4 linked regions of the Drosophila melanogaster genome follow. Changing the gene in region 1 together with any one later gene gives a genetic interaction. Each region holds a gene or a part of one and is shown on either strand. Other genes may lie near its edges.

Region 1 (4,711 bases):
TGTTGTTGTATATAAGAGTTTGTACAATATATGTAAAATCCCTAAATGTAATCTTTTTCATTATTGAGTAGTCATAAAGTCTTGGCATTTAACGAACACATTATCCTACACTCGGTCAACAAATCTTTTGAGCACTCACTCACATATTGTGAATATCCATGGCCATATGTTTGGCAATCGTTATAATCCCTGGCCAAATCCCTTCCGACCAGAACAGACTATCTATATGCCAGGGGCGTAACTTCCCACGACACCGCCGACGGATAGGGTAGATGCCGAATTTACGATGACATTTATGCGTAATTTTTGGTCGAATTTTATAGCCGCAATTGGACTGAGTTTCATTGGGAAAGAAAAGAGTTCTGTTCTCCACTGGCCCCCGCAGAGAAAGTGTCAAATAAATTTGATTGCCAAGTGATGTCTCGTAATTGAAACGGAACAGTTAATTCCGGGCATCATTAAGGCGACACACCCACCTTGAGTGCGGGAATCTGGGACCAGGTAGGATGTGCTTCCCCAGCACAGCCTCATAATATGCCACGTCATGACTTTCTTCTGTGTCAACGCCCCTCGAGTCCCGGTCGGAGCACCCTTTCCCATTGTCCGCCGTAATCCTTTGAGTTCCTATCGCGTGCTACGATCCTGATCTTTGGGCGACTCCTTGGCAGAAAGGCGCCGCGGGTTGCTCGCTCAGTTCGTGTCATAATTGCATGGCATTTGGTCTGTCGTGGAAGTGTGAAAATTATGGAGTTTCCTCACCCTTTCGTCATCTTAATGATTATGTTTGTTTCGTTTATCTCTGACTTGAGATCGCCAAGGGGCCCAAGGAATTTGTTTGGCAAACTTTGCTTCATTCATATGCGTGAGTTATGGCATTTGCCTTTGGGTTTGTAGGGGAGGTTTTCCAATATGGGATTTCTTCTTTTTGATTTCCGTTTTTTTGCGTGCTAAATTGTGTTTTACGATTATGAGATCCCTGATTTCATCTTGAAGATATCGGCAGGAGCTCGACATTTCGGTTTCTTTTTTTGCAAACGTTTATTTCTTTATCGATTTTGAGATCGTGAGAAGTAGTTCCGTTAGCTATACCGTTGCCTTACCAAATTCTATAATAGTGACTATATATAGTGGTAATATTTCTATATTTCTGTGAGTCATTTCCATTAAAATTTACGTTTGATTTTGAAATTTTTTTACAGAATAATTTCTACCTCTGAAGTTAAGTAGATTTAGCAGCTTTAATGTCCGCATTAAAAAAGTCTTAAAGCCTTGAACTAAATTACTTTCCGTGCTTCGTTGGAACCATCTCCATTTTGTTCGTAACTCTGCTTGCCCTCCAACCATTTCACTTTGCTCCCCATTTCGACATCCACATCCAGTTCGAAAGTAAATAGGCCCGACCACTGGCATCTGCCAGTGACTGTCGCCAGGTGTACCCATCAGAACCCATGCCATACAGCACATCCCCATCCACACACAGCCCCATCCCCATCTCCATTTCCATTACTGATGTTGTAAACTTTTTTTCTGAACTTAATTAGCTTTGACTGGGGTTGGGGCCGTGTTCTTTGCCATCGAGTGCCTCAAACCCCTGGTTCTCATATCGTACAATTACCCAGTGGAGCGCGTGCTGCAACCGCAGGTGCTAGAGCAGCACAGCACTCGTCTCCCTGCCCAGTTGCCAGTTCCCAGCTCCCAGCTCCCTGTGCTCAAGCTCTCCCAGCTCCCAGTTCCCTATAGAACGAATTCTCCATCTCCAGCTGCTGCTACCACTACTACCAATCAAACCTGCTCGGGAACTCTCCTAATTTCCCAAACTGGAGTGCCGGATAAGGCGGATAAGCCGCACACAAGCGCACCCGAACTGGAAGTCAGCATGGACCAATGGGCGTACCGCTTTGCGACCGAGCAACCCTCGTGCGATTCGACCGCTGGCAACTTAACTGTGCTGCGCAGAGCGGGCCCAGTTAGTCAGCCTTGCGCAGTCGATGCGAACGGACGCGTCGCTCCAGAGAAAAGTTGAGAAGAAGTACACAGTAGTAATAGACTATTGAGAAGGAAAACTATAGTGACCGCGTGTGAACTTGAAACTAACGATTACATAGACACATCAAAAATGGTTTTGAACGGCATGCCTATAACAATGCCAGTACCGATGCCAGTGCCCATGCCTGTGCCCAGTCCTCCGGCCACCAAGTCCCGGGTGGCGATCGACTGGGACATCAACGATTCCAAGATGCCGTCGGTGGGGGAGTTTGACGATTTCAATGACTGGTCCAACGGACATTGCCGGCTCATCTACTCCGTGCAGAGTGATGAGGCCAGGAAACATGCCAGCGGTTGGGCCATGCGAAACACCAACAACCACAACGTGAATATCCTAAAGAAGAGCTGCCTGGGAGTGCTCCTCTGCAGTGCCAAGTGCAAGTTGCCCAATGGAGCCAGTGTGCATCTGAGACCCGCCATTTGCGACAAGGCCAGAAGGAAGCAGCAGGGCAAACAGTGTCCCAATAGGTGGGTTTTTGACTAAACACAAAATCCAAGAATTGTCAAAACTAACTCGGTATTTTTATTTTTTTTTCTTGACAGAAATTGCAATGGTCGCTTGGAAATCCAGGCTTGCCGCGGCCACTGCGGCTATCCAGTGACCCACTTCTGGCGCAGGGACGGAAATGGAATCTATTTCCAGGCCAAGGGCACCCACGATCACCCCAGACCCGAAGCCAAGGGATCCACGGAAGCCAGGCGACTTTTGGCAGGAGGAAGACGTGTGCGAAGTTTGGCCGTAATGTTGGCCAGGGAATCGGCGCTGAGCGACAAGCTGAGTAGCCTGAGACCCACAAAACGGCAGGCCAAGACTCAGTCCATCCAGGAGAGCAAGCGCAGAAGGATGGGTGCTTCCGATGTGCTCGAAACCAAGCAGGAGTTAGTGGTGCCACCCACCACCTACCTGCCCACATCGACGCCCACACATAGCACCAACTTTAATCAATCTCAGGGTTCATATGTCCCAGCAGGACAAGGATCAGTGATCAGTCAGTGGAATAGAGAGATTCACTACGAAACGGAGGATCCATGCTATGCCAATGGAATGTACTCCTACGATATGCTCCACTCACCTCTCTCAGCGCATAGCTCCACGGGCAGTTATTACCAGGAGAACAAACCGCAGCAACTGCAGCACTCACAATACCAGCAGCAACTCTCACCGCAGCAACATGTACCAGTCAGCTATGATCCCAGCCAGCCAATCTCCTCCAGCCTTCAGTGCGGAATGCCTTCGTATGAAATATGCGACGATACGTCCAGTTTGACCAGCAGCTCGGGCTACTGTTCCGAGGATTATGGCTACTACAATGGATATCTACCCAACTCGCTGGACGTGAGCAATGGAAGCCAAAGCCAGAATCTTAGCCAGGATGCAAGTTTCTACACAACCAGCTCGGAGATCTTCAGTGTGTTTGAGTCAACTCTGAATGGCGGAGGGACCAGTGGCGTGGATCTCATCTACGACGAAGCAACCGCCTATCAGCAACATCAGCAACAGGGAACTTTTCCGCATCTCACCAATTATCAACAGGAGCCGCAGGATCAGATGCAGTCCGCCGACTACTACTACAGCAATACGGGAGTGGACAACTCGTGGAACATTCAAATGGACGCGACATATCACCCAGTCAACAGCACGGATCCCATCTATTGCTAGGGGATCGGGATAAGATCTCTCATCGCAACTACTATTACTGAGCCACTCAAGCGTTGTTCTAGTCCCTAGTTGATTGATTTCCATTCATGTTCCCATTGCTTGTTGGTCGTGTATTATTATATATTGAACGTTTCTAGTTTGTACTTTTGTACTTGTTTCCCAGCTATTCCAAAGTTTTAGAGCACGTAAGAGTAATAGTATTCTTAAGCACATAGAGTTTTAAGTCACATTTCCCACCTATTTATGAACTTTTTTGTAGTAATAAACATTTTTGAAAGAAAAACTTAATCGAAGCAGCCTTTTTTTGAGAATTGACACGTGTCAAGCAAGGGAGCTCGTAATCATTGTCAGTATAACATTACCAGCGGCAGGATATACAACTAGGGATTTTCCTCAACAACAAGTTTAAATTCGTTAGTCAACCAAAATCGTGTAACAATGGGTGCTTGTCGCCCTAGAAAATGTAGTGCAAATAACCGAACTATGGCAATTGTGAGTACTAAATAAAGGCCTAAACAAATAACAATGAATAAAACCAAATTTTGTATTGAGAAGCGTCGCCGTAGAGCTCTAGTTAACTTGCTATTTTTGCGCCGTCATTTGATTGGACAGGCACTTGGAATTACGAATCGGGAAACTCCAGACCTTAGGGTAAAATCGCGGCGACGCAATCGTAGAAGGAGAATGCAATTCAGAGTCCGTACACCAAGTGATAATGCAATGCGCTCAGTAAGGCATCATGGACAGAATCCAATCAGCCCAGGATCACGGCTACAACGAAATAATCCACTTTGGGGACACGCCGACATTATAACCACAGATAGAGCGTTGGAAGCTTTAAATGGACTTACTACAGGGAACAGGGAACCAAATGCATTGTCAGTAATGGTGCGATATACCAATGGGCGGTGTAAGTTGAGCTGTACTTATTGCTAATACAATGAAGTGCATAATTAATACTCTCTTATTAGATTATTTAAGCTTAGAGCCAAGTGGAAATCAGCA
Region 2 (7,950 bases), on another chromosome or scaffold:
CAGAGACACAAAAAAAAACTAAAAGGTGCACCGTTAAAAAAGTTTAATGTCCCTTTTTTAGTCCTGCAGGCAAATCAAGGTAACTTTTCATGCTTCTCTTCACTTGATCCTTTTTCACGCTTTTCGCTTCTCCTTCTGAACTTCTACACTTCACAGAAACCGACACCGACTGTATATTTTGCTATGTATATTATACACGGACACACACTCACTGGCAAAAAGGACATGCGTTTGGCACAGCCTTCGGGCATTTTATGTTTAATATAAATAAGTAGCGGCAGCACGTTGGAGAATATATATTACGGTTTTCTGCTCTGCTCACGGGAACACTAGTTCTAGTTGGGATCAGTGTGACCAGAGGCGCGCTGCGTGTGCAGCCCAATCAGAAGTCCTGGGCAAACGTTCAAAGCGAGCGCGGGAAATAGGTCCGCAAGCATTGCAAGTATTACCTTTGGATTTAGCAGAAATGCATTAATATTACATTTAGTATTACATTTTATACAGGAAATGGCAGCTACATTTGTGTGTTCAAAGTTGCGTAAATATGAATTCCAATTGGAAAGTTGCCGATAGGTACTTATCGAGTGGAAGCACTATACTATCGATATGGAATAACTTTATTTATTCTAATAAACATTTAAGGAACACCTACTATTTCATTCTAAGCCCCTTTCCAGCCTAATTAAATTTAAATGTATGTTGAAATGATCCAATTTCAATTCTATTTTCCTTTCTGCATAATATTAAGCCATCTATCAACAATATTTCATCATTATAAAAGAAGAGATTAAAACTATCCAAGCAAAGGATTACAACACAATGCATTTTAAACGTACGAAACGAAAGATGTATTTATTTTCGGTACGCTAACGTAGGGCCGACCAAACAATTGAGTTGCGCTACCGAATTAAATATTAATTCCGGAACTCGAATCACGGATTTCAATTTCGGGCTGGGTGCAGACTACGGGCCACATACTTTGGATGTCGGCGGCGAAACGCAGCGCGGAAAAAAATGTGCTTACATGATAATTTTTTGTTTAAAAATAGATTTAACAGTAGGACAGTGACGGAAGCGTCCACGGACTCGGATACCCAGATCCCGGTGTCGGTGTCGATTAAGCGAACAAATCTACAGGTCGCCGCCACCTCGCTTTTGGAGCATCTGAGCGAACCGCTGGGTGATAAGCAGCGACGTGTCGATGAATCGGTCGACGCAGTTGCTCAGGCACGTCTCGGTGGCGTGGTCCAGCTTGGTACTCGGCTTGCCGATGCACTTCTCCCAGCAGATCTCGTTGAACTCGTGTATCTGGCGACGATATAATGTGCGAGGGCATATTGTTATGATTACGAATGGTTATTATGTGTATGGGGGAACCCGGCTCACCTGCGCGTTGACCTGTGCCTTCTGTTTCTCAATCAAGAGGAACTCCTGCAGCTCCTTGTCATTGCCGGAAAGGTTCTCAAAATCGGACATCGTGTGATTTTCAGTGAGCAATCTACAAATTGACCGGGCTCGTCCGGAATTTCATATATTCTAAGGTTTGAGGTTATATAAACGACACTGACAGCTGTGAACTGTGGAATTACAAAAATCGATGTGTATTCGATAGCAAAGCTATTCGATACTGGAAATGCCGTGCATATTGCACTGTTTGCACTGTTGTCATATTTAAATGGCAAGAATATAGACGCCATAGAGCAAATAACAGTATATTTTTTTTTCTTAAGCATCCTCCTCCTGCCAACGAGGGTATACAATTTTCAAGAATACATTTCTAAAGTAAGTTGTTATTTATATTTACTGAGAACTATCGAAAAAGAACTAGAACCTCGCGTTGCCAACCACTGGTTCGCAAGGTGCGATAGTACAGGTTATTGGACAATCGATGACAAAGTGGCTCGGCCGTCGGCCAATCGATATCGTGAGGTGCAAATTGTCCGATGAATTTCACTGAAATTCGTGGCTTGTATTGTAGCTTCGCAATTGCAGCTTCGTTTCGACAGCAGGCCCACTTTCAGATCGAAGGCGTCTATAATCGCCATCCAGTCCCGTCGCCCTGTTCCCACAACGCCCCACAAATTTCGGGATCTAGCTGGCGTTTCGGGTGTCTAATTTCGGACCAGTGCACTGTGATTTCCGATTTCCAGTTTACTTTGCTGACGGATCGCCCAAGTGGCGAAGTGGTTCTTGCTCGGAAAGTTGGCGCTTGCTAAAAGAAGGAGCAGTCCAGGTGGTTCCCCGCCAGTGGCATCAATGGAACTCGCGCTGGAGTTTGGGGCAACCTTGCAACTGCAAGGGTAAGAGCATCGCCGATTCCAGGAGCATTCGCAGTAAGCCCAAAAATAGCAACTCAAGTCAGTCGCGGTGGTCATTGTTATTGGCAAGAAGAAGAGGAAACGGATAGAACGCGGCAAATTCCTAGGAAAGCTCCCATGATCTAGCTTCAGTGCGGCCGCGTAAGGAAACTGCTCCAGCCAAGGAACTGGGCTTGCAGGAGCAGCAGATAGCACCCAGCCCACAAGGGACCACTCACCGACAATCCTCTCATGGCCCTGGCCAACGGGGGAGAGGATAGAATGGACGACAGCAGCAGCGGACGCACTTCGCTGGCGGACAGCGCCAGCCTGACGAACTCCTCGCTGCGCAGCGGCACCTCCTCGCAGAGCATCCACACCAACGATGGCACAATCCGTGTGTTCAACTTCACCACCGGCGAATTTGAGCGTTTCCATCCCAACATGCTGTGCGAGGAGATCTGCAATACGATGTGCCGCCAGCTGGGCATTGCACCAATTGCCCAGCTGCTCTACGGAATACGGGAGCACTCGACATCGCGACGTCCCTCGCCGCTGGTGCGTTTGGATCTGACGTGGTGCCTGCCCGGCGAGCGACTCAACTGCCAGCTGGTCTATTGCTTTCGGATGCGTTTCCGTGTGCCCGAATTGGATAGCCAGCTGGAGTTGATCGATGGACGGAGCCACAAGTTCCTCTACCGCCAAATGCGCTACGATATGCGGACCGAGCAAATCCCGGAGATTCGCTATCCGGAGCACAAGGACAAATCAACGGGACTGGCCGTGATGGATATGCTAATCGACGATCAGGAACAGTCGGAGGATCAGCAGGCGATGCGCTCCATCGAGAAGCTTTACAAACTGTATTTGCCACCGAGCTTGTGGCGCGCCCACAGCTTCTTTGTGGGCTCCAAGATACGTGAGGTTTTCCGCAGTCTAAAAGCGAATTCGCTGAGTGTGGAGCGTTTGAAGTGGCACTATGTGCATCAGGTATCCCATTTGGCGCCCACCTATATGACCGAACAGTTCACCTGCACCGTTCAGTATCTGCCCAACGAGGAGGTGGCCCGCGGTAGCGGACCCATCGGCACCAGTCTGGCCCACTCGACGTCGACGCTGGCCAGTTCTGGATCGACCAACACTCTGTCCACGCTCACCACCAACACCAATTCCGTTGCACTCGGCGGCAGTGGCAAGAAGGCCAAACGACGTTCCACCAGCGGTGGAATCGATGTCTATGTGCGAGTCTTTCCACACGATTCCCTGGAGCCTGGACTCAAGGTGGCCAGGGTCACCTCCGAGGCCACACTCAAGGTACACACTATGTTTCCTTCTGAAATCTTATATGGTTTCTTGTGGTTTTCCCATCGAAATGCGCATTTTAATGCTGGCCATTTTAAATATGGAAATACCATTAATATTATAATATTTAAAAAACATTTTGATAGATTTCTCAATTTAATTAACGCGATTGTCTTGGTAATCAAGTTGCTTATCGCTGGCAAAGATTCTTGAAATATTCATACATACATACCATATGTAATTGCACTAGCATCCCATTGATAATCCTCATTTCCTCTGCAGTGGATCCTTGTTGGCGCCGTGGAAGGAATTTTTATGATCTCCAAAATCAACGACACCTCTGTGCGGCTGGAAATCGTTGGTCTGCCCAAGGGCTACGAGATGCAGTTTCAGACGGAGAAGGAGATGAAGTCCTTCATCTCCTACCTGGGTATCTACATCAGGTGAGTGGTTCACTTGTAATCGGTGAGCTTTAGATCCCAAAGAGTTCGCTTCCAACTAAATTTTAATCTTTTAAGCCGAACTTGCTTGGTCTTTTTTTCACCAGAATTTATAGGCATCTCATTGTAGTGTTCGTGTAACAATAATCAGTGCCCAATGTTCTTAATCAAACTACTCAATTGTTTTTTTTAACATCCATTGATTTAAAAAAAAAAACATCAAGTCATCAATTCCACGAACTCATTTAATAACATAATAATTCCACTTAAAAGTTAATGATTCCCACATAAATATGACATTTGATAACACGATTAAATACAGTGCTTGAAATGCTTGCTTTTTTGTTTAAAGAGTTTGTTAAAACCAAGTCCCTGTTTGTTTTGTAATCCAACACACAAAGTCGGTTTTCGTTATCAGGCTAAAATTAAAACAAGCAAGAAATTTAAAACTAAATGCTTTCAGAAGATTTCTTCAGTTAAATTGATTAAATAATTACGCACTAATCGGTTTTAAATGTTACATTGCTATTTATATCGCCTGCGTCAATGTGCAGTACTTCTCAATAACTCAATAAAGTTATATGTACGTAATTGAAACAATTGATTCCCAGCTATAGAATCACTTTTCAAATGCAATAATAATAATAATAATAATAATAATAACAATGCCAATGGACAGCAACAAATGTGCGCAACTTATAACTCGTATTTGCCATCCGTTTATTCCTTGCAGATTGTCGAGCAAATGGATGCAGGATCTGTGCCATTCGTACCGCACGCCCTCCCTGGAGGAGCTGAGCTCCCTCCACTGCCATGGTCCAATCGGCGGTGCCTACTCGCTGATGAAGCTGCACGAGAACGGTGACAAGTGCGGCAGCTATATTGTGCGTGAATGCGATCGAGAATACAACATATACTACATCGATATCAACACCAAAATGTGAGTACATGCGCGCCTTCACACAGTTATCAGTTACTTCCTCCTCGCTGGTTATCAGGCTTACAAACATTTCTGTATGCAATGCCACATGATACACAAAAATGCTGTGTGCGCTATGTGGCCAATTGTTTCGCTTACTGATGATTGCCTGTGTGTGTGTGTGATTGATGATGCCCAAATTAGATGTGATCGGTTTTATCTCATGCGAAAATCCCGCTCACCTTTGCAGCATGGCCAAGAAAACCGATCAGGAACGCTGCAAGACGGAGACATTTAGGATCGTGCGCAAGGACTCGCAATGGAAGCTAAGCTACAACAACGGCGAGCATGTACTAAACTCACTGCACGAAGTGGCGCACATCATTCAAGCGGATAGTCCCGATCGCTATCGCATACCCGCCTCCAAATATGACAAGCCGCCGCTGCTGCTACTGCTGCTGCCAAAGAACCTCAAGGCCAAAAAGACTGACCTCCAGCTGAGCGAGGCGGAGCTGCAGCGCCGCAATCCGCAGATCTTCAATCCCCGAACGGATCTGCAGTGGTATCCAGGTGGGTCATACTATATATTCTAATGCCTTGCTTCGTTCTAATCGCTCGTCTTTTGCGCAGATTCGATATCGCTTAGCGACGATGGCATGATGTTTACGATGCGCGGCGATTGGATCCAACAGAGTCCCGTCAAGGATGTGTCCGTGACGATGAAAATGCTAAAGAGCGATGGCAATTTCATGGAGTTCTTTCGCTTGGCACAGACCTGGAGCCTCATCCAGTCGCCGCAGTTCCTCAAGCTGTACGGCCTAACGCTCGCCGATCCGTACACAATGGTCATGGAGTATTCGCGGTATGGTCCGCTCAATAAGTTCCTGCACTCGATGCCCAATGTAACACTGCATTGTCTACTGGATCTGATGCATGGATTGGTGCGCGGCATGCACTATTTGGAGGACAACAAGATTATCCACAATTACATACGATGCAGTAATCTGTACGTGACCAAGTACGATCCGAATTCGTACGTGCTAGACGCGAAAATTAGCGATCCCGGCTATCCGCGTCCCTACCGAGAATCCGAGTGAGTAGCCGACAAATACAACTTAATCATCTTCTCGGTTGGGTCATACTCTTTGATAAAACAAAAAAAAAGCAAACAGCATTTTAAATAACATCATTCATTCTCCACTTTCAGCTCGCCATGGATACCTGTTAAGTATTATCGCAATTTGCAAGCAGCCAAAACGGATCAGTTTGCCCAGCTGTGGGCCTTCGCTACCACCATATACGAGATCTTCTCGCGCTGCAAGGAAGATCTGAGCACACTGCGCCAGGAGCAGCTACTCAGGCAGAAAAATCTCGATGGCAACATACTCAAGATGCTCGATCAGGACATCTGTCCGGCGCCGATATTCGAGACAATCATGGATGGATGGTCCGATGATGAGACCAAGCGCTTCAGTCACCACGACATTTTCTCGCGTCTCAACACGATCAAGGCGGAAATTCTGCCCAATTATATGCCGCCACCCGAGATCGCAACGAGTAAGTTGAGCAGACGAAAGCAGCGTTACGAGATTGGCATACATTTCATCTTCTATTTTTTTTTCCAGATGGAACTGGAGACGAGACCGTGATCGATAGAAGCGACATACCCTTTCTACCCTTTCCGCGTTCGAATATGTTGATGGTCATACCGCTGACCAGCGAATGTCGAGTGATCTACAACATGGAGAACATGATCGGGCGCGGTCATTATGGCACTGTCTACAAGGGTCATCTGGAGTTCAACGACAAGGATCAGCCGCGCGAGCAGGTTGCCATCAAGATGCTGAACACCATGCAGGTGTCGACCGATTTTCATCGCGAGATCGGCATCATGCGCACCCTCAGTCATCCGAACATAGTCAAGTTCAAGTATTGGGCTGAGAAGTCGCACTGCATCATTATGGAATATCTGCAATCTGGTTCCTTCGACATTTACCTGCGTTTCACGGCACCCAATCTCAATAATCCACGGCTCGTCAGCTTCGCTTTAGATATTGCAAATGTGAGTGGTTCGAATATGGCTTTAGAACGGAACAAGTTTTCCGGAAAAAAGAGGGAAAACTCAAAGAAAAATCTACAAATATTTTAAGGGTTTTTGCATCATAACTTGGCCAAAAGTGGTCAAATTTCGAAGGGAATGACTGTTTTTAAAAGCTTATGATCCCAATTAACAAATCCTATTTCTTTTTTTTTGAATTTGGTGGATTCAAAATTTTTCCATTTTTTTGAATTTTTTACAAGGGGTAACATCATCAAAATTTGCAAAAAATGGCAAAAAATTAAAAGTTCCCATTTTGAACCCCAATCGATTGGGAATTAAATTACGAGCCAAACGAGGTATAACAATCCATATTTGGGCTACTACTACCCAAGATGTGGCCAAAAAACTGCCCATTTTGGACAAAAAACCACAAAAAAGAACTTTGGTATAGAAAACTCATGTTTACGACTTTAGAAGAGATATTTCCTTTTGATCCAGTACTTAATCCAAATGCTTCTCGTCGCAGGGCATGAAATACTTGTCCGACATGGGACTCATCCACCGCGACCTGGCCGCCCGCAACATTTTGGTGGACCACAACGGCGATGGTGACTGCGTCAAAATCTCAGACTTCGGCCTGGCGCAATTCGCCAATTCCGATGGATATTACTATGCGAAAAGCAAGCGTGATATTCCCATTAGATGGTAAGAAAAAAAGAAGATGGATTGACGGTAGGCCACTATCGCAACTGAATATCTTTGCTTTCCATTGGTCAGGTACTCTCCGGAGGCCATCTCCACCTGCAGATTCTCATCGTATTCGGATGTTTGGAGCTATGGCGTGACGCTCTTCGAAATGTTTTCGCGCGGCGAGGAGCCCAATTTGGTGCCGATCCAGACATCGCAGGAGGATTTCCTCAATCGCCTTCAGAGCGGCGAACGGTGAGTTAT
Region 3 (6,463 bases), 1.5 Mb from region 1:
GCCGCCGATGACGAGGATGTCACCCCCTGTCCACTGCCGGACGCAGCTGCTTGTAGCACGTTGGGATGCAAACAGTGGGGCAGACTTGTGGGCAAGGGAATGTTGTTGCGCCGTAGAACCACCAAATGCATGGCGGCCGTAAACTCAGACAGACTTAGCGCTCCATCGCGGGTAACGTCACACAACTGCCAAATGTGACGTAGCTCCTCCACAGGAATGCGGCTCTTTTCAAAAAAGTTTCTAATAAAAAAAGGAATAAGAAAATAATAAGAAGAATAAAGTTATAAACGTTCCTAAAGCCAACTTACCTTGCTGCTTGGCCCGAAAGCAGACCATGCGGATCCCTTTGCACCGTCCTGAACTGCTTATTATAGTACTCGCGCTGTTCCGGGGTTATCTGGTAAATGGTCACCAATTCGCTCTCGTTGTCATCGTCGTCGCTGCTGTGGCGATCGGAAGACTCTTCCTCCGTGCCTAGCAGCTGGCGATGCTCGTCGCCCAGCAAACCCTGCCAGAGGGTGTCCTGCGCCCAAGGCCGCTCAGCCACGCTGTTGGTGGGCGTGGGGCTGTCACTGTTAGTGCTCCAGGCTTCTGGCGATCCACCACCAGTACCGCCTCCTCGTCGTCGCTAAAAGAGATAAGGCATGGACGGGGATCGGTCAATGGTAAGCTTATTTACAAATGTCACAAGATAAGATAGAAGTACAAACCCCGACATTTTCGCGGCTGCTGCTGCTGACGACCCCACAGCCATCCGTACCTCGTCCATGGCCTGTCGCATCGTCCACTGATTCGTTTTGCTCAACCTCGGAGTCGGTGCTGGGCACATCAGAGGTGTCTTGCAGCTGCTCTTGCTGCGAGTTACGACGCAGTGAATTTCTGCGATCTGTGGGTGGTGGCGGTGGCAAGGCAGTCAATCCATTTTCGACAGCCACCGGAGCTGTAACCGCCTCCTTCCAGCTAAAGTGCGGTAATGGAAGCGGAAACGTGGCCAAGATCAGCTCCTGGCGCAGGGGCATGGCCGCCTGATGAGCAGCGATTAGCTTCAGGCATGAGTAGAACTGTGTCCGCGAGATGTGTAGCGCCGTGGAGGGTATCCCCGCCAGACCGGTGATCTATAAGCCCAGACCCAGATAATTAATCACTCACGATCACACAAATTGGACCTACCTCAATCACGGTCTCATTGGCGATGTCCGCCGAGCGAAAGAGCTCGGTGGCCTTAAGCATGGGCACCTTGCCTGTCTTCTCCACGTCGCAGCATTGGAACAACTCACTGTAGAAGCGCGTCTCCGGCTCAGTGAGGGACACGTCCATGCCTGTCGCCTACTTGTTGCCGTCTCTGGTTTCGTTTACCAAGCCGCTGGTTAACGAGCCACGCCCCGTTCGTCCGTCCTGGACCCGGAATCCAATTCGTTTGTTTACTTCCACGTTTAACCCAGCAGGCCAGTGCCGACCCCGCTGCCCCGCGCTGCTCACAACCAGAAGTCTGATGATTTTCTGCCTTTGGCCCCCAAGACGGAGTTGGAGGAGGTGGAAGCTGGGAGAACTGCGGGGACGATGGTTTCGCTAACTTCTTGGTGCCACCACAACCACGATGGTTAGAGGATTCACGGCACTGGTCGACGAGGGTACACCTAGTGCCTCAAGCTGCTCGGCGCACAATCAATTTGGCTTTTTGTCCAGGTTTTTTTTCGCAAACTCTTTTGCACTGTGTGTGCGCTGGCTCTCGATATCGATAGGTTGCGGTATCGATTCGATTAGACAGCTGGCGCGGCAGCCCTGTACCTGTTAGCGTTTCGCAGCCCTAGTTACCGGCAAAAGTTTAGTTCCGCAGGATTGATGTTTTGTAAGGTGGCTTACCATGTTCATTTATATTTCATTATGGATTAAACTATAATAAAATTTAATGTTGCTGAATGAAGAAAAAATCATTTCTTCATTATTTTTAACGATATTTTTTTAACCGTCAACAAATTTCCTGTAGCCCTGTGCCACTGACGTCACCAATTCGCAAAGACTTTCCTGCGTCACCTTTCGTTGCACCACAGTGATCCCCACTCTGTTATTGTTGTCTGCGGCTGAACTGTTGCGACGCAAAAATTTAAAGGATTTGAAAGTCTTTATAGACTTATTTTAGTTAATAAACAGCCTCTGTGCAATCAAGGATGTTCTCCAGAAAGAAGCCAGAGCCAGCGAAAAGAAGGCAACACGATTTATCGCAGGTGAGAGGAAAAACAAACAGTCTAGATCCGTCTATTTATTAATTATGACTCATCGTTTGGACTGTCTTTTTTGTTTTTTGTGTTTAGTTCGGTCTTACGGAAATCCCAGATGATTTTGATCCCAGCGCTGGATATGGTGAGGACGATGGGGGTGACAGTGATTTGGAGGCAGAGCTTGCGGCCATAACCGGCGGAGAAGGAGCCAAGCCAAAGCCCAAGCCCAAAGCAAAGCTGTTACCCGCCAGTGATTTGGACAAAATGATAGCCGACAGCTTGCGTGATGTCAGCGACGATGATGATGATGACAATTTGGAAAGCGATCCGGATCTTCTTGGCGAGCTGAGCGGAATCGGTGGTCTAGAGGAGGCAGAGGAAGAGGAGCCTGTCGCACAACCGCCAGCTGCCTCTGAGGAACCCGTCCAGACCTTTCTGCCCACGACGACTGTGGACACATTAAGCATTATCAAACAGCGCCTGGAAATGTACAAGCAGGCCGAGGCCAATGCCAAGACTGCCGGCGATTCTGGCAAAGCAAGGCGATTTGGAAGAGGCCTTAAGACTCTGAAAGATCTGCACAGGCAGGCAGCGGCTGGCAAGTCCATTAACGTGGATGACATTCCACCTGAAGTCAGTGTAAAGCCAATTGGCGGGCAGGCTCCTCCAGTGCCTGCAGAGGAGTCACCAGCTCCTTCCACACCTGCTTCCCCTCCGCCTGTGCCTAGTCGTGCAGCTCCAGATCCACCAACCCCCGGCACCCCCGTGGAGCCCACTACATCTGTGGCTCCCACATCTCCCCCTAATCCTCTTGTGACGCAAATGCGCAGCCGCCAGACGGACTACAAAGCTGCTGCACTGCAATCTAAGCGCAGTGGTGACATATCTACTGCCCTTCAGTTTCTCAAAGTGGTCAAGCAATTTGACGTAGTTATAAAAATGTGTGAAGACGGACAGGAAGTTGATTTGAGTGACATGCCCCCTCCACCAGCTGAGTTTCTTGAATTCCTTAAAAAAATGCAAGAAGAAGCAGCCGCAGAAGCTGTCGCAGAACCTACTGCTGCCCCAGAACCCACACCTGTTGCTCCTGCTCCTGTTCTAGCAGCTGCAACAAATATGTTGGAGGCTCTGCAGCAACGTTTAGAGAAATATCAATCTGTAGAAGCGGCAGCCAAGGCAGAAAACAATAGCGGAAAAGCAAGACGCTTTGGAAGGATTGTGAAGCAATACGAAGATGCCATAAAGTTGTACAAGGCAGGCAAACCAGTGCCTTACGATGAGCTGCCTGTGCCACCAGGTTTTGGACCGCTGCCTACGGCTGATGCTGCTCCTGTCGCGCCGACACCGTCGCTGCCCACTTCGCCTACATCTCCACCGCCAACAGCAAGTACTTCCGCAGGAGGAACACCCTCCAGTTCCAGTGCGACGACACCTACAGCTCCTCGAAAAGCACCTTCACCTCCTAAGCCCAAAGAGTTAACAACACGCACGTCTGGCAATCAGCAGAAGAATAATATTGCCGAGCAACAAATGAAACTGCTCCTCGAGCGCCAAAAGGAGTTTAAGCTAGCTGCTATAGAGGCCAAAAAAGCGGGAGAAATAGATCAGGCGAAGGAGTACCTCAAGATCTTCAAGGGATTCGATTCCCTTCTTAATGCAGCGAGTAGTGGATTGCCAGTGGACCTCAGCACTGTAAGTTTTGCATTACATCTTCTTCTTGTATGGCTAACTATATATTTTTTTTTTTCAGCTTCCCGTCCCGCCTTCACAAAGGGATAATCTAGAAGCCTCCTTTGCCATTGTATCTGCTGAGGAATGCGATCCGACAGATGATATCTGTGAAATTGGTGTTCGCATGGAGGAGCAGCTGGCAAAACAACTGATGATGTGCAAAAATACGCGAGATCATCACAAAGCTATGGGAGATGTAGCAGGCATGAATCGGTTTGAAAATTTAGCCTTAACTGTGCAAAAGGATTTGGATTTGGTGCGATACTCGAAACGAAAGAATGAACCACTGCCAAAGTTTCACTATGAAAAGCGTAGCTTCAACATTGTGCATTGCAACACAGATCTCACAGACAGTGAGCTTGAAATTGTTGTGGTCCGGGGAATCAGCTACAATGTGGCCAATCCCAAGGACGTGGATACTTATGTGCGCGTAGAGTTTCCCCTGCTCAATGTAAGCTAATTACCAACATTTAAAGTTTCACCAATTATTTATATGTTTTCGTTTTAAGGATGAATCTTTCAAGACTAAAACCAATGTTATCAGAGACACCAGCAGTCCTGACTACGATGAACGCTTCAAGGTTGACATCCAGCGGACCAATCGTCAGTTCCAGAGAATCTTTAAGCGGCATGGCGTCAAGTTTGAAATATACTCTAGAGGGTAAGTTGCCCGTACATAAAAGAACTGAGCTAGAACAATTATTTAATCCGTACTAAGAAGCTTTCCATGCATATTAATCTCAACTAACGGAGGCGGTATATGATCTTATTTACGCGTATTAATTTTCCAAGGAATACTTAGTAATATCCGATGAGTAGTAATCTTCTACATTTTGAAATAGCCTTAAAGACTTAAATAAAAATATATATATAATTTTAAAAAATATTTGGCATAGATCATTTTGCGAAAATTTAAAAAGCTGTTGATTGAGCTGCATACCTACTAAATATTTTTATCCAATTTGTAGGTTTCGCTTGGGTATTAATTTGCTCTTAATATTAAGTTTCAGCTCTTAATTTGAATTATTAAATTTTTCCCGTAGTAAGCATGTTCCTTTGGTCCCGTAAAACAGTATCGTACGAGTCACGGCTTCAAGCACACATATATTTCACCGTATGTGTCTACCCATTGATCTTCTTGATTGATTCTCACAAGGAACATTTTAATGAAATATTTTTACAAATTTTTACGCCTCAATTCCCAACAATTCAAACAAAAAATAAATGTCATCCAATGCTACGCATTTAATATAAATAGCTGCAGTATAGATTGTTGTGGACTAAGTCGTAAACTGCCCCTGTGTTGTTTCAGAGGTTTTCTGCGATCGGATACGTTGATCGGAACCGTAAATGTCAAGCTGCAGCCATTGGAGACCAAGTGCGAGATACACGACACATATGATGTAAGTGATAACTACTATAATAAAATAATATAAACTTAAATTTAACCTATGTATTCCTTAAAACAGCTAATGGATGGTCGCAAGCAAGTAGGTGGAAAATTGGAAGTCAAGATACGCGTTCGCAATCCTATTCTCACCAAGCAAATGGAGCACATCACCGAAAAGTGGTTGGTCTTGGATGCCTAGGGCTAAACAAGAAAATTTAAATAAAATAGGAACGCGTCCCCTTGCGATTGTTCTCGATTAAGTCACTAAGTTATTTGTTTGTAAATATCCCTCACAGAAAATTCAATTTATCTAAGTATGTACGCTTTTGCCGATTCCTTCGCAGGAAGAAGGCATTTATATATTACGAACACAACACATATAATGTACTATAAATATCTTTATATATAAATAATATATGTATATATGATATTGCCGGCGTTAAGGCGAAGGCGCAAGTCCAGAAGATTGTGCCGGTGAAGTCAGTCCATTCCAAGAGAGACAGATTGAGAGTAGGATCGGTCCACTAGCGCCTAGCCGAAACCTGATTATGTTAGCTTTCACATTGCATAAATATTTTCTTTTGATTTATAAACTGTTTGTTGAACTACAACTCCAGATATTCGACTATTTGTGAGTAGGGACTGGTTTCATTAAACACATCCACACCGCGAACTTTATAGAAACCTGCCGACAAAAAAAGATTTCGGTTATGAAAGATGGAAATTTTGCAGGTTATGCTCACCATTGACGGATCCCTTATCGCCGGGCGCATACTGAAACGACGGATATGGCAGATGCCAGCCCTGTGAGATGAGCATCCAGTCGGCGGAGCGACCCAGATTATCGCGTTCCTTAAACCACACCTCGTAGCTGAGAAGGCACTGCGTGGATTTGGGGTGTTCCATCCAGCTAATGAACACCTCACGCTGAGTCACCTCTGCGATGGAAAGTTGCTGCGGTCGTCGCAGTTTGGGCCAAGATGCGGAACACACCCGGAGCAGCATCGCCCAGGGCAGTGGGATGCTGGCGGAGTTGATAACTAGCTCGCTGTTGTACTGCCAGATGGGTCCCGTCTTGTAGAGTCTAGGTGCTTGGGCTCTTCGCATCGCTTCCCTTAGAGTG
Region 4 (4,741 bases), on another chromosome or scaffold:
TTGACCGATTAACTCAAATGATTCAGCCTCGTGACACGAAAAGTTCCACCCGCCACTCAATCCGCAGTGCAAGTAACTAAGCAAATGCGATATGTGTGTGCTTAAATGCATATAGCATGTTTATGGGTCTGCCGAATGGGGTTTTTCGAATGGAGTAGGGTGCGTTTGTGGGTTTTGTGGCGGGGGGAAAGGGGGGATGGGTATTTCGGTGGCCTATGTGCGCCTATAATTATAAGGCATATACACTATATACATATGTACATGGGCATAGCATAGCTGCGTGTTTTTCGTCGGGTAAATAGGTGCACACGTCAATTGCTGGAACGACCTCAATGGGTTCCCACTTCCAGGCCCCCCCTTCCACGGCCCACATTCGTTTGATTTTTCCGCACTGGAAAGTGGGAAAACCGGAGCAATTATTTCCCGATCCGATCATGCTACAATTATGTATGTTTAATTTTTTTTTTTTGCTGCTGATGTTGTGTTTCACTATTCACCATTCCATTGCCGTGGAGCTAGAACATGCAATTATTTTAATGTATTCGGCCTTGGGACTCATGAATGTCAATTGGCACGTAAGTTCTCCATTAGCTATTAGCTTTTACCCGCGGCTCCACGCATCCAAATGCAAATCTCTATATGTATATATAGATATGTACCTAAATGTGTACATACAAACTCATATGGTTTACGCTGCAAATCAGTCGTTTTGTATGCTAGCTTCGTTTTTTTTATGGTTTTTTATGGGGGCTAGGCGACTCCCACCCACTCGCACATATTTATACAAATTGAGACAGCGGAAAAAGTGCAACTCATTTGAATGGTTTCGCCTTCATTATGCAAATACGAGCACTGTTGGTGGCGAATATTTATTTGCTCATTATAAATACATAGAGTTTCTGGCATTTTAGCAATCATGACTTGCACGCACACGAGCATTAAACGAGTTTCTAAAATTCAGTGTAATGATCGAGTTTTATGGGACTATTGCATTCGAATTTGAACTGAGTGGGCGCCAACATATCGATAATATATAATGACAGTCGATATTTTCATAGCAACCAGCTTTCGCTGGGCTCGCTGCGCAACTAGGTGGCAGCTCTGAAATGTATATTACATGTAAGAAATCCTTTTACAAACTCAATAAATAATAATAAATGCTTGAAATAAATGTATATTTCAATACTTCTAAAGCATTTTATATATTATGTTTTTATTGGTATTACGGAAAACCTCCAACTTTCAATTTTAAAGCATTATATTTATAAATAAAATAATTCTACAAGCAAAAAAACTCATTTAATCCTGGAAGCACTTATGGATTTCACATTATAAAAGAACTGATTAAATGTATGAAGATACATCATTTTATTAACGTACATTTTGTAATATTTAATTTTTTGAATTTTCAGTTTCTGCGCGCCCATATCAAAGTCCGTAGCAAAAAAATCAATATAGGAAATGCAATAGGTGCAAGCGGGACGACCAGCTGAATCGAGCGGCGAAGCAAAGAAGACCCGATAAGGCGATGCCACCTAGTTAGAAACTAATAAGTAGTTGCATAAATAATACAGTTTTTTACACAATAGAAAATCCAAATGAGTTCTCACTCAATTTTAAAGCAAGTTATCTACTATTTGGAAACACTACCCAAGTAGTTTTCAGCCTTTGAGCACCTTTTGCTACATTTTAGCACCTTGCGGCGATCTGGCAGCGCCACACGAAAATGGCGAACACGAGCACTCCGATGAACGACGAGCTGAAAAAATAATTATTATTTTAAATTCCGTTTTGCCAGCGAAATTCGGTGCGTGCGCGAAAAAGAGTGCGGAAAAGCGCGGTTGAGAAATTTAATCGGCCCATTATGAAGCGGTCAAAGTGCGGCGCCAATGCAAATGGTTAGCCAAATGGCAAGAAATATGTAGCGATAGCGTGCCAGCCCAGTAAAATCAAATAGAATCAAATTTAAGTTTCTTGCTTTGCGAATTATGAAAAACCAATCGCAATGCGTGTGTGTGTGTGTACGTGTGGTGCGTGCGCGCGTGTGTTAGTGAGCGAGCGTAGAAGCAGAAGGCGTAGCGAGAAATAAAAATAAAAAACCATACAATAATTGATTTAAAAAAAAGAAAAGCAAAAAGGCCAACAAACGAAAAACAGCAGAAGCAACAAAAACACACGACAAGCGGCAGCAAAAACAACAACACAAAACTGGCGGTAAATACGCATACAGTACGATACAAAAAAATAAACTAGAAGCAACAACAAATACGCAACGTAACGGGAACTCTTTGACGTATTTCCTCTATTATTATGCAAAAAGGCAGGCGGCAAATTGCAGCAGCAGCGAAAATCAAATATAAATAGCGAAAAGGTAAGGACAGAGGCCCCACAAACTAAACTAAAAATAAGAGCCGAACATATTTGTTGTTTGCAGAGTGCAGTAAAATGGGTGCAAATAAATGGGCAAAAGAAAGAAGCAACAAAATACTGCAAACCTTTCAATTGGCTTCAATTGGCAAATGTAATTGTTCAGCATTACATTTGCATTACACCGCTCACCAACTCTTGCTCCCTCTCACTCTCTCTCTCACTGTGTTCTCCGCTTTTGCGCTCCCTTTGCCCCTTTTACTTTGCAAAGTTTTGCGACGAACAAGAACAATAATAATCAAAACAAAAATGTTTAAAATCCATTTTCTTTCGCCTCTCCTTCACCCACTCACTCATTTCGTAGCGCGCTGTCATTTGTCTTGCGCCTTTGCCTCCCCCCCTCTTCTTCTTCTTCTTCTACTTTACGTTGTCCCCTTCTTCTCTCTCTCCCCGCAACATTGCCGTCTCGCTCGCTCGCATGCACACCATGCACGGGTGAAGAGGAGACGTAACGAAAACGAAGTTGGTTTGCCTGGAATGCCACAGTGGGTACAAAAGGGTTTGATAGTGGTCACAGTCGACACAGTGGGGTGGGTATTTCATTATTCTGCAACAGAAACTCTTGTTATTCTTATTAAGTCAAGCAAAACTAGCAAAAATAAACATTTCTAGCCGGCTAAAAAAAAACTCAAAATCCAATCCAAAATCCAATAAATATTTAGTACAAAGTGCAAGATTGCTAATAAAATAAACCAAAAGTATAGCACTTACTTTTTGTAGGAGATGAAGGTTGTTAAAAGCATTCATATATAATTAATACGAATAAATTTATTTTATTTAAGTTCTAAATTATACGTACTTATCATTTTATATAAAGATTTACATTGCCTTATGCAGTGATGTTACAATCATCAATGTAGATCTTATAAGAATCAATAGGCCGTCCGTAGGTCGGGTAGGGTGTAGAAACATAAAGTGCAGTGAGGAAATATTAAAGGGCAAGAAAAAGTGAAAAAGCAATAGCACAAACATACAAAAAACACGAACACACATTATCCATTTGCCAAATAAACATGCACAAAGTAAGAGAAAGACGGGGAAAATGCAGAAGAAGAGGCTCCAAAAGGCGGCAAATCGCTGCATGTGTGTGTGTGAGCGAGAAGGCAACAATGGGACGAACAATATAAAAAAAAAAAAACGTGGAATTGGTCTAGTAATGTAAGAAGAAGAGCAGTAACAACGCGGACGAACGGACCGCATAATGCGCGTTTAATGATAAGTCTCTCTGTCCGAAACGAAGAGAGAGACATGGAGAGAGCGCGGCTGAGAGGCCCGCCGATTTTCGAGTGGGTGGCAACACCTAGTCTTCCTCTTTCTTTCACACCTTTTCTTGCCGCCGTTTTGTTTTGATTGCGAGTCTTCTGCGAAATGAAATGCAAATACAGTGGAGCAGCCTTAAGCTCGTAAACTTTTACATATACAATAAATGCAAATAATTTAAAATAAAACAAGTTTGGAAAATGCAACTATAAATTTTCTTATTATTTTTCTTAATTTGACTTCGAAATTTGTAAACAAAGATAGATTTCGAATAAATCAAATCAAAAACATCTCTTTGAGTATCCACTGTGGCAACTGTAACTTTGTAATAAAGAAATCCCTTGAAAATCTGACTTATTGTTCGGCATAAAATTGTGGTTGCATTTTAGCCTCCGCATTGGAAGTTGCAAGCAAAAGTTGGCATCTCCTCTCTGTCCGCCTCTTCGTCGCTCCATTGCCTCCCATTTTATTTGCACGGCAAGTTGCCTCCTCGAGCATCCTTTCAGCATTCCTATTATTCTTTTTTATGTTCCTTCCTTTTTTTTTTTGACAATGCCCCAACTAGCAAAAACAACTTGCAGGCACCAATACGTGCCATTGAAAACGAGAAAGGGAATTTAATCCGAAAAACACTGATTTCAGATACTCTAACTGCTACTTGGGGATTTTGTTTGAATGTTAATTAATTTAAAAACTAGTAGTAAATGGAAAAATGTAGTGTAAAAAGAGCGTTTTATTTGAAAATACCATTTATTTTGTTGTAAACATGTGACCATACTATGATACCCTTTTAAAAGGGCATACAAAAATGAAGTTTCACTGAAAACTGGTTTCAGTTTCGGTTTTCTTCCTTCTGGCCTGGCCCAACATTTTACATGAAAATGTGCAAAACAAAACCATTCCGGCGGTGCTAAAAACCACGCGACATGACCAGCACTAAATAAAGTTAAAATAGTAACTATTCGTTGAGCTCATAAGCTTTAAAAAAAAAGGTAACTTATGTTCGAAAATAAAACAAAATAAATTAGCTTGAATGGAATGTTCATTCATATAC

The links.
Region 2: of gcm (region 1) and hop, changing one suppresses a phenotype caused by changing the other (phenotypic suppression), as found in Drosophila melanogaster (one study listed by BioGRID).
Region 3: of gcm (region 1) and l(2)gd1, changing one suppresses a phenotype caused by changing the other (phenotypic suppression), as found in Drosophila melanogaster (one study listed by BioGRID).
Region 4: of gcm (region 1) and psq, changing one enhances a phenotype caused by changing the other (phenotypic enhancement), as found in Drosophila melanogaster (one study listed by BioGRID).

What each region holds. Positions count from the first base shown.
Region 1 is NT_033779.5:9,578,998-9,583,708, reverse strand, and holds gcm (glial cells missing), read left to right. Parts: upstream 1-1,963; 5' UTR 1,964-2,116; coding exon 2,117-2,514; intron 2,515-2,589; coding exon 2,590-3,706; 3' UTR 3,707-4,144; coding exon of another isoform or gene 4,145-4,198; 3' UTR 4,199-4,211; downstream 4,212-4,711. Other genes in the region: CG31709 (uncharacterized protein), read left to right, coding at 4,145-4,198, 4,262-4,616, 4,678-4,711. UniProt on the Drosophila melanogaster protein: Transcription factor that induces gliogenesis. It determines the choice between glial and neuronal fates. Also has a role in the differentiation of the plasmatocyte/macrophage lineage of hemocytes.
Region 2 is NC_004354.4:11,362,062-11,370,011, reverse strand, and holds the start of hop (hopscotch), read left to right. Parts: upstream 1-1,913; 5' UTR 1,914-2,549; coding exon 2,550-3,611; intron 3,612-3,881; coding exon 3,882-4,042; intron 4,043-4,772; coding exon 4,773-4,979; intron 4,980-5,208; coding exon 5,209-5,528; intron 5,529-5,588; coding exon 5,589-6,051; intron 6,052-6,165; coding exon 6,166-6,515; intron 6,516-6,583; coding exon 6,584-7,020; intron 7,021-7,525; coding exon 7,526-7,704; intron 7,705-7,776; coding exon 7,777-7,941; intron 7,942-7,950. Other genes in the region: Tim8, read right to left, coding at 1,132-1,308, 1,387-1,476. UniProt on the Drosophila melanogaster protein: Tyrosine kinase of the non-receptor type, phosphorylates the marelle protein. Required maternally for the establishment of the normal array of embryonic segments: involved in the control of pair-rule gene transcription in a stripe-specific manner.
Region 3 is NT_033779.5:11,104,897-11,111,359, forward strand, and holds l(2)gd1 (lethal (2) giant discs 1), read left to right. Parts: upstream 1-2,046; 5' UTR 2,047-2,168; coding exon 2,169-2,225; intron 2,226-2,312; coding exon 2,313-3,911; intron 3,912-3,969; coding exon 3,970-4,401; intron 4,402-4,459; coding exon 4,460-4,611; intron 4,612-5,208; coding exon 5,209-5,353; intron 5,354-5,419; coding exon 5,420-5,539; 3' UTR 5,540-5,945; downstream 5,946-6,463. Other genes in the region: Reps (RALBP1 associated Eps domain containing), read right to left, coding at 1-240, 309-628, 711-1,115, 1,171-1,317; Idua (alpha-L-iduronidase), read right to left, coding at 5,946-6,025, 6,084-6,463. UniProt on the Drosophila melanogaster protein: Phosphatidyl inositol monophosphate binding protein involved in endosomal protein sorting through regulation of the endosomal sorting required for transport (ESCRT) pathway.
Region 4 is NT_033778.4:10,556,163-10,560,903, forward strand, and holds the start of psq (pipsqueak), read left to right. Parts: upstream 1-1,725; 5' UTR 1,726-2,214; exon of another isoform or gene 2,215-2,371; intron 2,372-4,741.